Linked DNA regions of Notamacropus eugenii. The protein of the gene in region 1 interacts with the protein of each later gene in a biochemical or structural test. Links are inferred from orthologs where the notes say so. Each region holds a gene or a part of one and is shown on either strand. Other genes may lie near its edges.

Region 1 (7,565 bases):
TTTAATAACAACATGTACAGCACTGATTCTCAGCATCACTTTGTTCGTGTAAGCAGAGGTCTAAAAGCAAAACAGTATACTTGGTTAGCTTAGGGTTGTAATGACCTATTTAAAACAATCCTTTTACAAGAGGGTGGAATCAGATCTGAGACTTTTATGATTACACAATTCTTCTATTTGATAATTTCTACAATAGCATAGAAAGGCAAGATTAATAAATCCAGCTCTGCCATACAACAATACAAGACCAAAATTCAACAATTCCTCCTTTTCCGTATTACTAACACTGAAGTAAAATTTTGTTTCTAAGATGTGATATACATTTTTATCATCTTGGATAAAATATCTACAGTCTCAGTAGTGGTTGAATTGCAGCTATAAAGGAAATTGTCCTGAGATAAATGGCTTCCCTATGAGAAGATTTCACTGCTACACTTCACCTCAGGCCAATAAATCAAATTAACTGCACCTTGTCCTCTGTCCAATGACATCATCAGCTTGACCACATCTTGGGAAGCCAGTATAAAAACATATACTACTTAAGGAATTAAATCATATTACTGCTTTTTGTCCACCCAACCTCCCCCTGACAGTATTTGAAGCCCTCATTCACCTGAACACTCTCATTAAAGCTAAACATTTATTCCTTTCTTAGCATCATTCAGGATTTGTCTTTACCAGGAGCAAAACAGAAAAAAAAAAAAAGTATGAACAGGTTATCTGAAAATTGAATTGCTTAAGTTAATCGACTCAGAAATTTTAAATTGTTATAAATTAAGGAGAAATACTTTGACGATTACTGCCAGGAGCTGAACTGTAAAATCTCTTAAATTGTTTCCATGCTGCTGTAACACGTCAAAAAAAACAACACAAAACAAAAAACAAGCAACCAAGGCTCTTAAAAGAAGTCTGCTGTCTACTATTTTCCTTCAATATCAAGTGGATGGTCACTAATGAAAAGCTCTACCATTTTAGCATATCACTACAGCCACAAAATAAAATGAAAACCAAAATTTGCCCAAGAAGAATCTAAATCCAAGTGATTATTACTTCTAAAGAGTATGAGTTAATCGTTTTAAAAATAACTCCACTGTGTTTACCTTGATGAAATTAATTCTGACCACTTTGGAAGAGGAAAGGAATAGTAAAGTCCCAGTAGCCCAGGAGGCACACACACACATATATACATATATACGTATTTTTCCTCTAATTTTTGCCCACATGGCATAGCATAAACAGCAAAGAAAATATTCCTATTTTCAAATATTTTCTACATTCAAGTATTGATAATATAAACCTTCAAAAGCACAAGATATTACTCTCCTTTTAAGTTATAGTGAAAGAAGACAGTACTGAGAAATTCTTAAAGTGTTCCAATATTACTATCGTGAAATGTCTAAAAATCTTGGGATTTCTCCTATCTCCTAGAAAACTTTGTTGATTTTTACAAGTACAAGAAAGATCTTTCAGGGAGTGAAAGTGTTAATTAAATAGAAATCGTTGTCCCCCCCAAACAAACTCTATTAAAGAATGAAAGCATCTTACGTGTTCCAACTCCCACTAAAAATGAGAAAATAAAGCCATTTCTCTAAAACGTCTAACCGCTGCTTAGATTCTATGAAAACCTCTTTTAAAAAGAAAACAAAACATCCCCAGCCTCTGGCTTCGCTGGGAGCTGAGCGGTTTTGAAGCTGGTCGAGCCCCAGGGGGGTTTTGTCTTGCCCGCAGGGGGTGGGCCGCGTGGTGCGTGTTTGGGGGGGGTAGTTGGTGGGGGGAGTGATTTTGGTTATTAGTAAATAAATCAAGCGGCAGAGAGGACGAGGCCTAGGCATCTGCTGCAGGAGCTCAGGCCTAGCTCCCCCTTCTCTTCTCAGCACAGCCCGGGTTTGATCTTGGAGCCCTGCGGATTGCCAAGAAGGAAAAAAAAAGAATCATATCGAACCACAAAAGCACATGGGGCGAATGTAAAATATAAACACGGCGTTGGGCTGTGAGTGGCTGTTATTAAAGGTCTGAATTACTAAACATGAGAGGCGGGGAAAGCCAGGCGGCCATTTCAATAATATAAACCTCCCCGAATTAGACATTATTCAAATGAGAGAGGTACCGAGCGGGAGAGAGCAGCGAGGACCCGGGGCACCGGCCCAGGGAGGGCAATCTCCGGCCCGAGCGGGGCAGGCGGGGATGGCACCGGGCCGGGAGCCGCCGGCCGGGCACCCCAGCGCCAGGCGCTGCCCCCGGGGCCCCCAGGCCGGGGAAGTGAGTCTCTGGAGTACCCTCCCTCCAAGTGTGCCAAGGGGGCCGGCACCTACGGGCAAGGTCCCGAGGCCGCGGGGAGCGGGGAGGGGGCGACGGCGCCAATCCCTCCTGCCCAGGTGGCTCTTCCTGGTTCCACCTTCCACACCCAGGTGAGCCAGACCCACCCCGGCACGGAGAGCTCCACGCCCCCTCCCCCAGCGCCGAGGGCCCCCGCCGGCCCACACCGACCCTCGGACAAGCTCCCCGCCCCGAGAGGGGCCCCCCAAGCCCGGGTCACCGGCGGCACGGCCGCGGGAGCGCCTAGGTCGGCGGGGGGGAAGGACCCACCTAAGGATTTTAAACCTCAGACCCACGTGCGGCGGGGCGGGCGGGCGCAAGGACGCGCGGGGGCCGCCCCCGCCCCCCGCCGCGGGCACCGCTCCCCGGCCCCCCCCACTCCCGGCCAGGCGTCCGGCCCGCCGGGGTCCCGCTCCTTCCGCGGCCGCCTCCTCCCCCAGCCCACGGCATTGTGCTCGCCCGCCCCCTCCCCCGGCGACACACCCCCCGCCCCCCCCAGGCCGGCCGGCGCAGCCTCCCGCCACCCGCCCGGCCGATCGCTGATGAATATGTAAAATGTCTTTATTGTCCGCACCCGCGGCCCCCGGCGCCGCCGCCGCGGACCCGGCAGCCGGGCCGGGAGGGCCGGGGGGCCGACGAGCGGGGGCCGGAGGAGCCGGGTGGCTCGCCTGCCCCCGTGCCCCTTGTCTTCCCCTCCGCCTGGACGCACCGAGCCGCTTTAGCCCTTCGCTCGGCTCCCGGCGGGGGCTACGGGCTCCCCGGCCCCCCATCTCCCCGCCGTTAATTATAATAATCCTGAGTACTAATAAATTATGCTAAGTCGCAGGGGGGGGCAGCGGGAGCCGGGGTTGAGTATGAATATGAATATGTAAAATGCTGTAATGATTACCTGCTGCTGCTGCCGCCGCGGCTGAACTCTCATCTTGACTCGCTGCTCCTCCGTCCGCCATTTTGAATATTTTAACCAAAATCGGCCGGTCGATAAACCCTCCCTCGCTCCCTGCTCCCCTCCCCCCTCCCGCCCTCCATGCCTCCTCCCTCTGCTTTCTCCTCCTCCTCCCGGCCTCCTCCCCCCTCCCCGCCCAGCTCTCTCCTCACACCAGGCGCGCGCCAGGGGGCGCGCGAGGCTGATGCTCGCCCCGCCCCTCCCCCTCTACGCACACACCCTCACGACTCCGCGCCTGCGTCTCTCCACCTCGCGCTTCTTCACATGTCCTCTCGCTTCCCTCCCCCCCCCTTCACTTTCTGGGTCTCTGCGTCACTTTCTCCTCGGGAACCTAGAGGGATTCGGGCACACACATGCGCAGTCTGTCCCCTGTCGCCTCCGACTTGGATAGGCTTTTCGTGTTCGGCTGCTTTTCTTTCACTCTGTCCCCCTCACCCCGCCCCCTTCACCCAAGCGACTCCGAAAACATTTGCGTTTGCGCAGTTGGCGTGAGCAGGGCACGAGTTCCGTTGCCCGTCCCAGCTCTGGCAGGGAAGTTTGTGGACAAACACGAGGGAATGGCGTGCGGAGCGAGGGACTCACAGGCCATTTTCTCCCTCCCATGAGCGGAACGGAGCCACAGCGTCACCTCGTTGGCGACCCTGCACCGAAGTGCAAGAGTGCCCGGACTGCCGGCCGCCCGCGGACCAATGGCGGCCGAGCCTTCCCTCCCAGGCTCCGAGGCCGCGGGAGTGCGCCCGCGCGCAGGTTACCCGACGTGCTGGCGGCGCGCTCGTCACCGCGGCGGCGCGCGGGCCCCGGGCTCCTCCGCACCTGTGGCGCCCCATCCCGCTTTAAATTTGAATTCCGTACTTAATCCCCGCCCCCAAACCCTCCTCCGACCCAGCCAGCCCCGGAGCGCTCGGAGAGCGTGCTCTGCAGGACTCCCTGCGTCCGCAGCCCGCATACAGTCGGCGCTTACTAAACGGCCTGCCTGCCCCGTCCGCTCCTGTCAGCGCCCCGCCCGGCCTTGCTCTTCCCTGAGCGTCCGCGGAGCCGAGGCACCCTGGGGACGGCGCGCGGCTCGGAGAGGTGGCGCCCCAAGCGCCGGGGGAGCCTAATCGGGGCGTCCCTACCCCTACCCCTAGCCCGCAGACCTCCGAGCGCCGCCACGCGCCCCGGGGCTCTGCGAAAGCGTTCCCATGGTGTGGACAGCTGTCTTCACTTGTTCTTCGTTTGGGCTGGACCCCCAAAACTTAGTCATTTTAGCCTGAGCCAAATCCTGCGGACACTCCTGGGGGTCTGGCGTAGTGTTTGGTTTTGGTGAGAGTAAAAAATGCATATGTTTTATGGCACACAAAAGAGTCCCTTTCCCCCTGCGCTGCCTCTGAATCTCCCCGAAACTCCGATGCGGGAGAAGGAGGAGCGAATCGGGCCTGGTGTGCGGGGGCGAGGTCCTGGGAGAAGGGACGTCTGGTAGTGTGAGGACAGGCCGGTGAGGGGCGGCCGTGGGCCCGGCCTCGCGCTGCCAGGCCCTTCACTTCCACGCCTTTTCCTTTAAGCCAGAGGGGCCACAGCGGATTTCCGAGCCCAGATCTGTGGTTCTGTGAAGTCATGTTGAAGCCTCCAGGTTGGATGGATGGACCGAGTGCACCAGCGCATGACAGCAAAGACATCTGAAGGGAGAGATTTGTTTGGGAAAATCGGAGATCCATTGAGCAGACTCCGATAAAGACCCTCTCTGATGCCTGTTGGTGGATTAGGGGCTTCTCGAAGACTACCCGGCGGCACCCAAGTTCTGACAGATCCTGTCAAGCCAGAAGGACTTCACGCCCGACAGCCAATCTGCAGTCCAAGCCTCCTTGAAGGGAGTTGGAGAGGAGGGGGTGTTCCTGATTATAATCCTGATTTATGTCCAAAATGAACCGTCAATTCCTAAAAACTTTTATAGAGTTCCAAGACTTCCCAGATACCTTCAAAGCACCCTTCACGTTCTGTGGGGAATAGCAGGGGACACTAGAGTAACGGGTGGGTAAGGCCAAAAGGTCATGTTTAATGGGATTTCACTGCAGATTCTTAAAACAGAGAAAAATTAATGTGAGTACAGCTCAAAGACGTGTCTAGGAGGAGTAACTTAAAGTAGATTTTGGACAGTAGCGGGTTTCTAAGGAGTCTATAAGACTACGTGTGTGTTCGTCCTTCATTGCCAAAGAAAACCCATGCCATCAGAGAAATTGACATGACTTGCAATTGACTTTGTTTGGAGTGAGGGAGGGCTGTGCAGGTCACCAGCCTCACTTCTCCCCCAGAGCCATCTGAATCCAGTGACCAGATATTCATCAGGATGACCGGAGACGACCCAGGATGAGGCAATTGGGGTGAAGTGACTTGCCCAAGGTCACACAGCTAGTGAGTGTCAGTGTCTGAAGTGAGATGTCTGTGTTAAGCTGTAGGAAACAATCAACGTAGTGAATTTGGCTGTTTCAGTCATTGGCTCCAGATGACAAGCTCTGGGAAAGCAGCAACTTTTCTTTCTCCTGACTAGCACCAAACACAGTGCATTCTTGATGCCAAAGTGGCATTTCAACTCAACATGAACAAAGTGAAATTAATCATTTTACCTCTAAAACCAGCGCTTTTCTACAGACTTCTTTATTTCTGTTGGAGGAGCTATCATCCTTCTAAGTAGATTCATAAGCATGGAGGAGTCTTACGTGACTCTTTCCTCTCCTTTTCCCTCTCAGTCCCCATATTAAATCATTTGCTAAGGATAATTCATTTTATATACCTAAAAACTTTCTCATTGGTCCCTTTCTCTCATATCCCTGCTTCCCCAGTACAAACCATTTCTCATTTGAACTATCTAATTGAGGCAGCAAGGTTGTGAAGTGGCTGAGCCTTAGGCCTTCCTGAAGAAAATACCTGACTTCAAATCCAACCGCAGACACTAGCTAGCTGTGTGATCTAAGCAAATCTTTTTAATCTCTGCCTCAGTTTCTTCAACTGTAAAATAGGGATAATAATAGCACTTACCTTCCAGGGCTGCTGTAAGGCTCAAATGAGACAATATTGGTGAAGTGGCTGGCACATTGTAGTTGCTATATAAGTGCCAATTGATGCCCTACTTCTAATTCTCCCTCTCCAAAGCATCTTTGACATAGATGCCAAAGTCATCTTCCTAGGCACAGGTCTAACTTCCTCACTCCCTTGCTGAAAAAATTCCACTGCTTTCCTGTTGCCTGAAGAAAAAAATACAAACTGCTACCCAGCCTAGCATTTTACATCCCTGTACAATTTGACTCTAATCTACCCTTCCAGCCTCATTATATGCTACTTCCCTTCTCACATTTTCCAATCTAGCCAAAATGACTTCCTTGTTGTTTCTTACACGTGACACCCAGTCTCCCATAACCATGCCTTTGCAATATACTCCCTTCTCTTCTCAGGCCTTCAGACTGCTTGCTACATGATCCACCCACCCCAAGCTTCTGTGTTGTCACCGAGAATGGTGACTAAACCTGCTCTAAAAAGGGGTAGGGATGGGAGGAGGGGGAGAGGGAAGAAAATGGGAAGAGGTTTCATTTAGAAGGTGGTGGTTTAGCTGAGTTTTGATGCAAGCATGGGATTATGAAAGATAAGGAGAGGAACAACCGCATTCCAAGCATGGGAAATAGCCTGTGTGAAAAGCATGAAGACAGGCGGTAGTAAGGAGGCAGGAGATTCTACACCCTACTCTGTTTTACCACGAGTTGAATTACCTTACACAAGACAACTCATTCTGCACTTCAGTTTTCTCACTTAAAGGCCTTTTGCCCTTCCTTCTTGGGGTATTCATAGTCAATGTTTTAGAATCCATGGAAGCTTAGGAGGGACCTGCTTCGAAGCAAGCTTCCCCCAACTCCCCACTTCAGAGCATAGACAGATGTCCTCCAAATGTTTCCTGATAGTGTACTGGGTGGTATTGAAAAGCCTTTCAGTTGGTTGCTGAACCAGACCTCTATGGGTGTACTAAATAGGGTGATCCCTAACCCCCATGTTCTTCTTTAAATCTTTGATAAAGGAGCATCCAATAAAATGAAGGCCCTCCTGTAGGTCTTTTTTTCTGTTATAAGGGTAATACTATTGGTCATATAGCCACTGAAAAAAAGAAAACCCCAATATGTCACAAAATACTTATAACAGTGTTTTTTAGTAGCAAAGAACTGGAAACCAACTAGATGCTGATCCTTTGGGGAATGTCTAAACAAGCCATGGTACATAAATGTTATGGATTATTACTTTACTGGTAAGAAATTATGAATATGATGAATGCAGAGAAGCACGA
Region 2 (7,763 bases), on another chromosome or scaffold:
GAACTGCTCATCTCTTCTGTCTGTATGAGGGGCACTTCCTGATGTCTCAAAATGCCATTATGCAAAACACAACTACCCTGAGCTAACAAGTTATCCATTATCCAGCTGTCAATCCTCCACTGTCCTCTAGCTCAGGACACCTGCTGAAAGGGACCACTTCACTTCAACTTTCTGGGAGAAGGTAGCAATATCCTGTACCTCTCTGCAGCTGTGAGATGAAGTGGGCCAAATACCATCAGAGCCATCGGAAGAAAATCAACTAGTCTACTTGTCCAAATAATTGCCACTGTCTCAACAGCACTGATATCACAATTGATCATTGCTCTGAAAGGCCACACTTGTGAAACCAAAGCAATGTGCACTTTACACAACATAAAACAACATGTAAAGAAAAAGGATTTTTCAAAAATAAATATTCTTTGTCAGCTAATCCATCCTTTGTAACTGTCAGGCTTCAGAAGGCTGGCAGCTGGCCCATCAGACAAAAATGCAGCTGTGACCTGAGAAACGTGAGAAGGGGAGCATATTAATGAAGATGAAAAACATGTTTTGTAACTATGTCCAAGAGGAGGTCCAGGATAGCCCCTGGACTGGTGCTTTGTGAAGGATGAGGTCCCCAATACTACTAGTGCTACCCAGGGGAGAAAGTCAGATAGGGAGGCCCTGCCTTCTGTCAGTCCATTTCTCTGACATGAACTCCTTAGGAATTCATTAAGCATAACTTACATTTATATGGCATTTTAAGATTTATAAAGCATTTTATATAAATGACCTCACCCAATCCTTATAAACCTAGGAGGAAGAGGCAATTATAATAAGCTCCAATTTAATAAGAGGAAACTGAGCCTCTTAAGTGATTTGTCATCGTTATCACTCACAGAGGTGGTAAGTGACTCTGGTAGGATTTGAATTCAGGTCTCTCATACTCCAGATCCAACACTCTCTCCATCACTCTACGATTCTTCTCTCTGGGCCTCCTTGAGCCCACCAAGTAGGAAAGTCATCCAAGATAGTGTTGAGGGAGCTGGGCCAAACACAGATCAGAAAAAAACAGGGTTTCCCTGGAAGTGTGATCTCTTCACCTGGTGTCTCTGGATGCCACTGAGATATTACCCAAGCAATTTACTCCCTTTTCCCTTCAATTCTTCAATGAGCAACCTAGTCAAAGCCTGGAGAAAAGAAATGACCTACAGGGAAGGGGTGATGAGTCAAAAGGAAATTGTGTAATTCCAGATAAAAAGATAAAACAAATAAGCATAGAATAATGTGGGCTAAGGGGAGACTGGCTTGAGGTGGCTAAGATTTCTAGACCCCTTATTCTTCAACTTAGAGCATCTTAGTCCACCTAGCCCTTTTCCCACCTTAAGTATAAATCCTTTTCACACCCTCTCTGATAAGCTTCTTCCTGAAGATCTCCAGTGACAGGAAACTCACTACCTCCTGAGGTAGCACATTCCATTTATGGGTGGCTCCAATTTGCAGGAGGTTTTTCTTAGCTATGCTGAGTTACTCTTGCTCATTGATGACCCTCTATCATCAACTACACATAAGGAATCTTGAGGAAGGGGAAAGTTCAGGGATTTACCCAGTTTCTGGGAAAGGTTCCTCTAAGGATCAGCAGTCAAGTCCTTAACATCTAGAAAGGCCAAGAAAAGTTCCATATTAGTCCAGATACCCACCTACCCACAAGGATCTGATTACTATCTCAAGAAAAATATTATGACGCCAGAGTTGGTTCGGAGATAGTTATCAAAATTAGCAAGGGGATAAAAGGTACTCTATACAAATGTAGATTTTTAAAATTAGGAGGTTTCTGTTTAGAAAGATGAAGCCTGTGATAGAAAGGCAGAATGGCATAATGGATATGGAACTGAAATTGGAATCAGGAAGGCCTGGGTTCAAATGCCATCTCAGAAACTTACTAGTTGTGTCCCTCTGAGCAAGTCCCTTATCCTTTCTGTGCCTCAGTTTTCTCATCTACAAAATGGAGGGCAGGAGTAGACTTGCTGGCATCTCAGATGCTTCTAGCTCTAAATCTGTCATCTTGAAGATCATGAAGGGACAACCAGAATGATCCTGGATCTGGTCATTAAATATCAGAATAGTAGGATGAGAAGGCATTCTTGTATTCTTAAAAAGGATTTTAGGATAAATAAGGAATTAAGATAAATAAAAGGAATTACTAATTTTGCCATTGGAGTTGGTAAATTTCTGGACCTTGTTAACTATAAGAGATGAAACAGACCAAAGCAAAGAACTGGGAATGGAGTACCTATTACTTGTGGGGGATGGTTAAACAAATGATTATTTTATTGTTTTTTTCAGTCATTTCAGTCATGTTCAACTCTTCATGACAACATTTGGGGGGGTTTTTTGGCAAAGATACTGGAGAGTACTTTGCATTTCCTTCTCCAATTCACTTTCTAGATGAGGAAATGAGGACAAAACAGGGTTAAGTGACTTGTTTAGAGTCACACAGTTAATAAGTTTCTGAGGTCAAATTTGAACTTGGGAAAATGAGTCTTTCTGACCTCAGGCCTGGTACCCTATCCACTGCACTAGTATGCCATAAGAAATTATTAAAAAGCCTATTTCAAGGAAACTGGCAAAGCTGAATGAGCAGAATCAGAATAATTTATATAACAAAAATATTATTAAAAAAAAATTTGAAGGGCTTATTCAGGGGAATGACCAACCAATTCTAGACAACTAACGTTAACGCATACTACTTCAAGCATTCAACTTGAGTCCAGAGGTAAAGGACTCAAGATCCAGAATGAAGTATACATTTTTAGACAGATATACATTTTCAGACATGACTGTACTTATTTATTACAAAGGAGGGTTTCTATTAGAGGACAGTAAGAGGCATGGTGGCTAGTGATATGATGTGAAAGAAAGAAAAAAGTGTCAATAAAACATCTAAAATTTATACAGAAGAAAGAATAAGAAAGTCTAGAAAGGAACACAGACAAAGCAGGTCAGCTTTGTTACTGCCATGTTAAATTTAATACTTTTAGACAACTGTACGTGAGAGAAGTTGGTCATTTTATGTACAATCATCTTCTATTCCTTATGTATGAAATGCTTGTATTTAAGTTCATAGTAAAGAAGAGAATTTATATTTTAAAAAATAACAAGCATTTGCTAAGCCCCCACCAAATACAAGGCTCAGTGCTAAACCCCAAGCATACCAAGACACAATGAAAAGCTATCTTTATCCTCAAAGAGCTCACATTCTACTACAATTACACAGATCACTAGATTATAGATTTAGAACTAGAAGAAACCACAGAGGCCATTTAGTTCAACCCTCTCATTTTACAGATGAGGAAACTGAGGTTAAGTTTCCTTAACCTTAAATAATTTGCCAAAGATCTAATGGCTAGTAAGTGGCAGAGTCAGGATTCTGTTCCAGATCCCCAATTCCACATCTAGGTTTCTTTGTAGTAATTTTGGAAGAAAAAGGGAGCACTAACTGGGGAGATCAGCAAAGTTTTTTTATAGGAAAGAGGTAGTACCTGTTATGATCCTTGATGGAAGTTCTAAGAGAAGAAAGTTTATTCCAATCCTGAAGGACAGTCTTGGCAGAGGCATGGTAGTGGGAGATGGGATGCCAAGTCTGGGAAATAGTAAGCAGGTGAGTTTGGCTGGAATGTAGAGTCCATGAAGAGGAGCAATCTGAAATACTCCCAAACACAGATACTCATAACCTGTTATCCTCTGGCTGATCCTTGGAAGCCACCACATCCTGTCAACTCTACTGCCTACTTATCTTTCACATCCATTCTCCCCCTACTGTTCTCACAGCCAATCCAGTAGTTCAACTCGTTAATTGTTACCTGGATTATCACAAAACCCTTCTCACTGCTCTCCTTGACTGTATTCCAATATAGAAATGCTAGCTATAATAATAATTATTATTATTTTTAATTCCTCTCACCCCAATTCATATGACCTATCCCTACCAAATTAATCTCCTGTGTATAGCTCAGATCATATCACTCCACTGCTCAGAAACTTCCATGCCTTCCCATTGTCTAAATAAAAGAGCAGTCTCCCCACTTTTTGGCTTTATCTCATGCTACTTCCTTTTGCCTATCCTATACCCTAATTTCAATGGATTAGTTGTTATCTCCCAAAGCAGTCTCAGGCTTTCTTCTACCTGTGTTCAAATGCCCTTCCCCCAAATTTCTCTCCTTTAATAGAGCACCCATCATTTAAACTGCAGCTCAGATGTTGCCTGAGTTTAGACTCTGTACTCCTCATATATTTATAATATTCAAATTTGTATTTTTCTATGAGAATGTCTTCTCTCTCCATACTAGACTATAAATAAGTTCTATAAGACTGTGTCATGCTTATCTCCGTATCTCCTCTAATGCTCAACATATCCATGGCACATAGAAGGCCCTTAATAAATGCCTGTTAAATTAGTTTAGCTAGCGCAAAGGAGTCATATAATCAAATGAGATAATATATGTCAAGCACTTTGCAAACCTTAAAGTGCTATCTAATTGTCAGCTATACAGGTGAATAGTAGGAATTAAGGCTGAAATGTAAGAAGCAACCAACCTGTGGAAAGCTTTGCATGACAGGCTTGGCATTGATCAAGTGCCTTAGAGGGGACTAAGGAGAATGAGCACTAAGAAGAGTCCATTGGGTTTATTAATTAGGAGCTAAGCTATCAGAGAGACATTTCAGAGTGGTGACAATGAAAGAAAAGTTGTAAGGAGTTAAAGAGTGAAGAAATGGAAGCAGGGGCAGAGGCCAAAGTTGGAAAATGTTGCTACTGAAAGGGAAATAGGGAAGTAACTAGGAGAGGAAGAAAAATCAAACAGAGGTTTGGGATTTGTGTTTTCTTTTTTAAAATAAAGGGAACAGGATTGTACTTGAAGATAGAGTAGGACCAAATCTCCACACTATGTTTTACCTCCCCTAGAGATAGGGGACCCATACCTATCTTGTCCTACCCCATAATTTTTGTAGATGAAGAAACTAAAAGCCAAGGTAGTTGCATGACTTCCTCAGGGTCACAAAGTAAGTCGATACCTTGAGTCAGAACTAGAACTTAGGTCTCAGTTTAATGTTCTTTCTACTTCTAGATAGACTCAAGAGTCTCCCAAAGGAACTAGGTACATAGGAAAATCTGGACCCCTTTATCCAGCCCAAACCACTGACAAAACTTTTACAAAGTTTTCTTTCTACTCTCATCCTCTGTCACCATTCTTACCTTGCTGCCATTCTAAAAGCATTCTCAAACTTGACTTGGGATGGGAGGACCTTACCTGGCAGGCCTGATGGGATGAATGTAAGTCAAAGATATAGACCTCACCTGAACCTGGTCACTTTTCTCTCCAGATATGCTGGCGGATGGAGCAGTCTACTTTGGAGAGGTTCCCTCCAGGGAGATATAGACCTCCCAGATATGCCCTCTTTCTGACCAACATCAAAAGGGCAGTTCCAGGAGTCTCAGAAGTTCTAGAGATATATTTGGTGACAGGGGCAAACCATGGAGACATCAGTCCCCAGCAAATGAAAGCGCAAAAGGTCTCCTTGTTTGAATTTGAAAAAAAGTTCTCCGTCCTAAGGTATACCAGCCACTCCCAACCAAGAACTGAGGCAGGAACCTCACGGGGAGAAAAAAGTCACCTCCTTCCCTAGCTGGGCCAAGGGAAATCAAAGCTCGTACTCTGGACCCAAAGGCTGAGAGACTAGGAAGATGGAGGTACTTGGAGAGACATTTTATGAGATCTTTGATCCAAAGCCCTGTTTGGGAGAGAGGGGCTACAAAGAATTTTGGGGCAAGGATTCTGAGGGAGAGAGGAGAAGAAAGCCCCTTATTACCACAGAGAGAATGTACCTTAAACAGTGAAGAAAGCTGCTTCTCCAGTATGACACTTAAGGGTCTGTGGCAATGGGCTTAGGGCCAGGATAGGATCACTCAGGTTTTTATTTCCCATTTGTAAATGGAGAGAGGTGAGGAAAGGAATTCTTTGGCTGAGTAACACAATACCACTAGGTCCAGCCCACCAGGGTTGGCCATGGGAAGAACAAACAAGTCTCCAGTCTCACACTAGTGAGTTCCTGGGCACTCGTTCCTAGGTGCCACTCATTAGGGTGAAGCCTTCAATGATTGAGGTGACTGGGGCTGTGGGGAGAGGGAGATGGCAAACTCTACATGGAGAAGAAGAAACAGACTCTTGAGTCCCAAGATCAGGGACCCCAAAACAAAATGTCACTGAATATTCAAGTGAGAGCCCCCTGAGTCTTGGCTAGCGCTGACCAACATGTCCTCCCCATGTCCCTGCCATCTCTATCATAAGTTTCCTCGTTAAATCAGGATGGAGTCTACAAGTCCAGAGGTGGCTCCTTTGTTCTGTCATTGGAACGAAGTAAGGGGCTTCCTGAGCGATGTCTGAACAGGCACAGGACACACCTAGGAAAGCCAATGCCCAGTGCAAGTAAATGTAAAAGGTGCCCTTTGCTTCACAAGCTAAGAGGGATTACACTTAGGATTCTCTCCTGGGCCACTCCCCCCCCCCCCAACAAGCAACCATCATCAGTGTTATTGCTATAATTAATAATAGGGATAGGAACTGGACCTATGATTTCCCACATATAAGCAACCCCTAGGTGAGGAAGCTCCCTCTGCCAAGGCAAGACAGCACTTCCTTTGCAATTAATAGCCTCAGAATTGCCAGGGGCAATGAGAAGTTATGAGCCTTGTCAAGCGTGACACAGCCAGTATGTGCTGGGGACAGGCCTTGAACCCAGATCTCCCAGGCTCTGAGACCATTTCCTATCTACTATGCCACACTGCTGTTGTTAATAATATTAATAACTGATGCTTCAAACAACTGTCAGCCCAGTATTTTTCAAACCTGAGCTCAGAATGAGAGTCTCTCACCTGGTAGGGCTAATGGGATGAGGCACAGACCTCACCTGACCTTGGTAACTTCCTGATGGCCAGCCCAGGACGCTAGTAAAAGGAGTGGCTCCAAGGCCAGGTGCTCCCTCTCCCGCCCTCTGTACACATGCGGGCCTGGCCCGGCTGGGATCTCCCCAGCAGCGTGTTTGTTTTGCTGAGAGTTTTCCGTTGGCTCGCGTGTGGGTGTTTGTTGTATTTCTCTTGCAGATGGCAGACAGCATGCTTCCCCATAGGCGGTACGTAAAGCAGACCCTGCAGGAGAGAACAAAAGCCACGCAGGTGAACAGCCCCGTCTGGCGGTCTCTTTTATCCAGCCCAACCTGAAGACAATATCTTTGCAAAGGTCCCTTTCAAATCCATTCCTGCCATCCTTCTATCCTAGCCTCCCTCCATCTCTCCCTCCTTCTCTCTCTCTCTCTCTCTCTCTGTCTCTCTCTCTGTCTCTCTCTCTGTCTCTCTCTTTGTCTCTCTGTCTCTGTCTCTGTCTCTCTCTCTCTGCCCTGAGAACGTGTGTCTGTGAAAGAGGCAAATCTCTGAGGTAATGCTTCACAATGAACAGCAGACCATTTGCATCTAAAAGGATGCCTCCTACTCAGCCTCTGATCAGCCACTTTCATCTCAAGGTCACTGACGTAGCAGTTTCTGACATAGAGTAGGAACTTATTAAATGTATATTGATTACTAACTAGGAATGAAGAGGACAGGTAACATACCCAAAGGATCCAGGAGGAAGTAGCTCCTTGACTGTGTCTGCCCAACAACTCTAAACCACTTCACATATTTGGCACTCCCCAGGAAAATAAGGAATGTCAGCATGGACAACTCCTGAGAC

The links.
Region 2: the proteins of POU2F1 (region 1) and POU2AF1 are reported together in a solved structure, tested with the Homo sapiens proteins (2 studies listed by BioGRID, with this or other methods). The link is inferred for Notamacropus eugenii from reciprocal best matches to the Homo sapiens genes POU2F1 and POU2AF1.

What each region holds. Positions count from the first base shown.
Region 1 is NC_092873.1:479,334,409-479,341,973, forward strand, and holds the start of POU2F1 (POU domain, class 2, transcription factor 1), read right to left. Parts: upstream 3,304-7,565; 5' UTR 3,267-3,303; coding exon 3,206-3,266; intron 1-3,205. UniProt on the Homo sapiens protein: Transcription factor that binds to the octamer motif (5'-ATTTGCAT-3') and activates the promoters of the genes for some small nuclear RNAs (snRNA) and of genes such as those for histone H2B and immunoglobulins.
Region 2 is NC_092876.1:142,885,487-142,893,249, reverse strand, and holds the start of POU2AF1 (POU domain class 2-associating factor 1), read right to left. Parts: upstream 3,612-7,763; 5' UTR 3,522-3,611; intron 1,637-3,521; exon of another isoform or gene 1,586-1,636; intron 1-1,585. UniProt on the Homo sapiens protein: Transcriptional coactivator that specifically associates with either POU2F1/OCT1 or POU2F2/OCT2. It boosts the POU2F1/OCT1 mediated promoter activity and to a lesser extent, that of POU2F2/OCT2. It recognizes the POU domains of POU2F1/OCT1 and POU2F2/OCT2.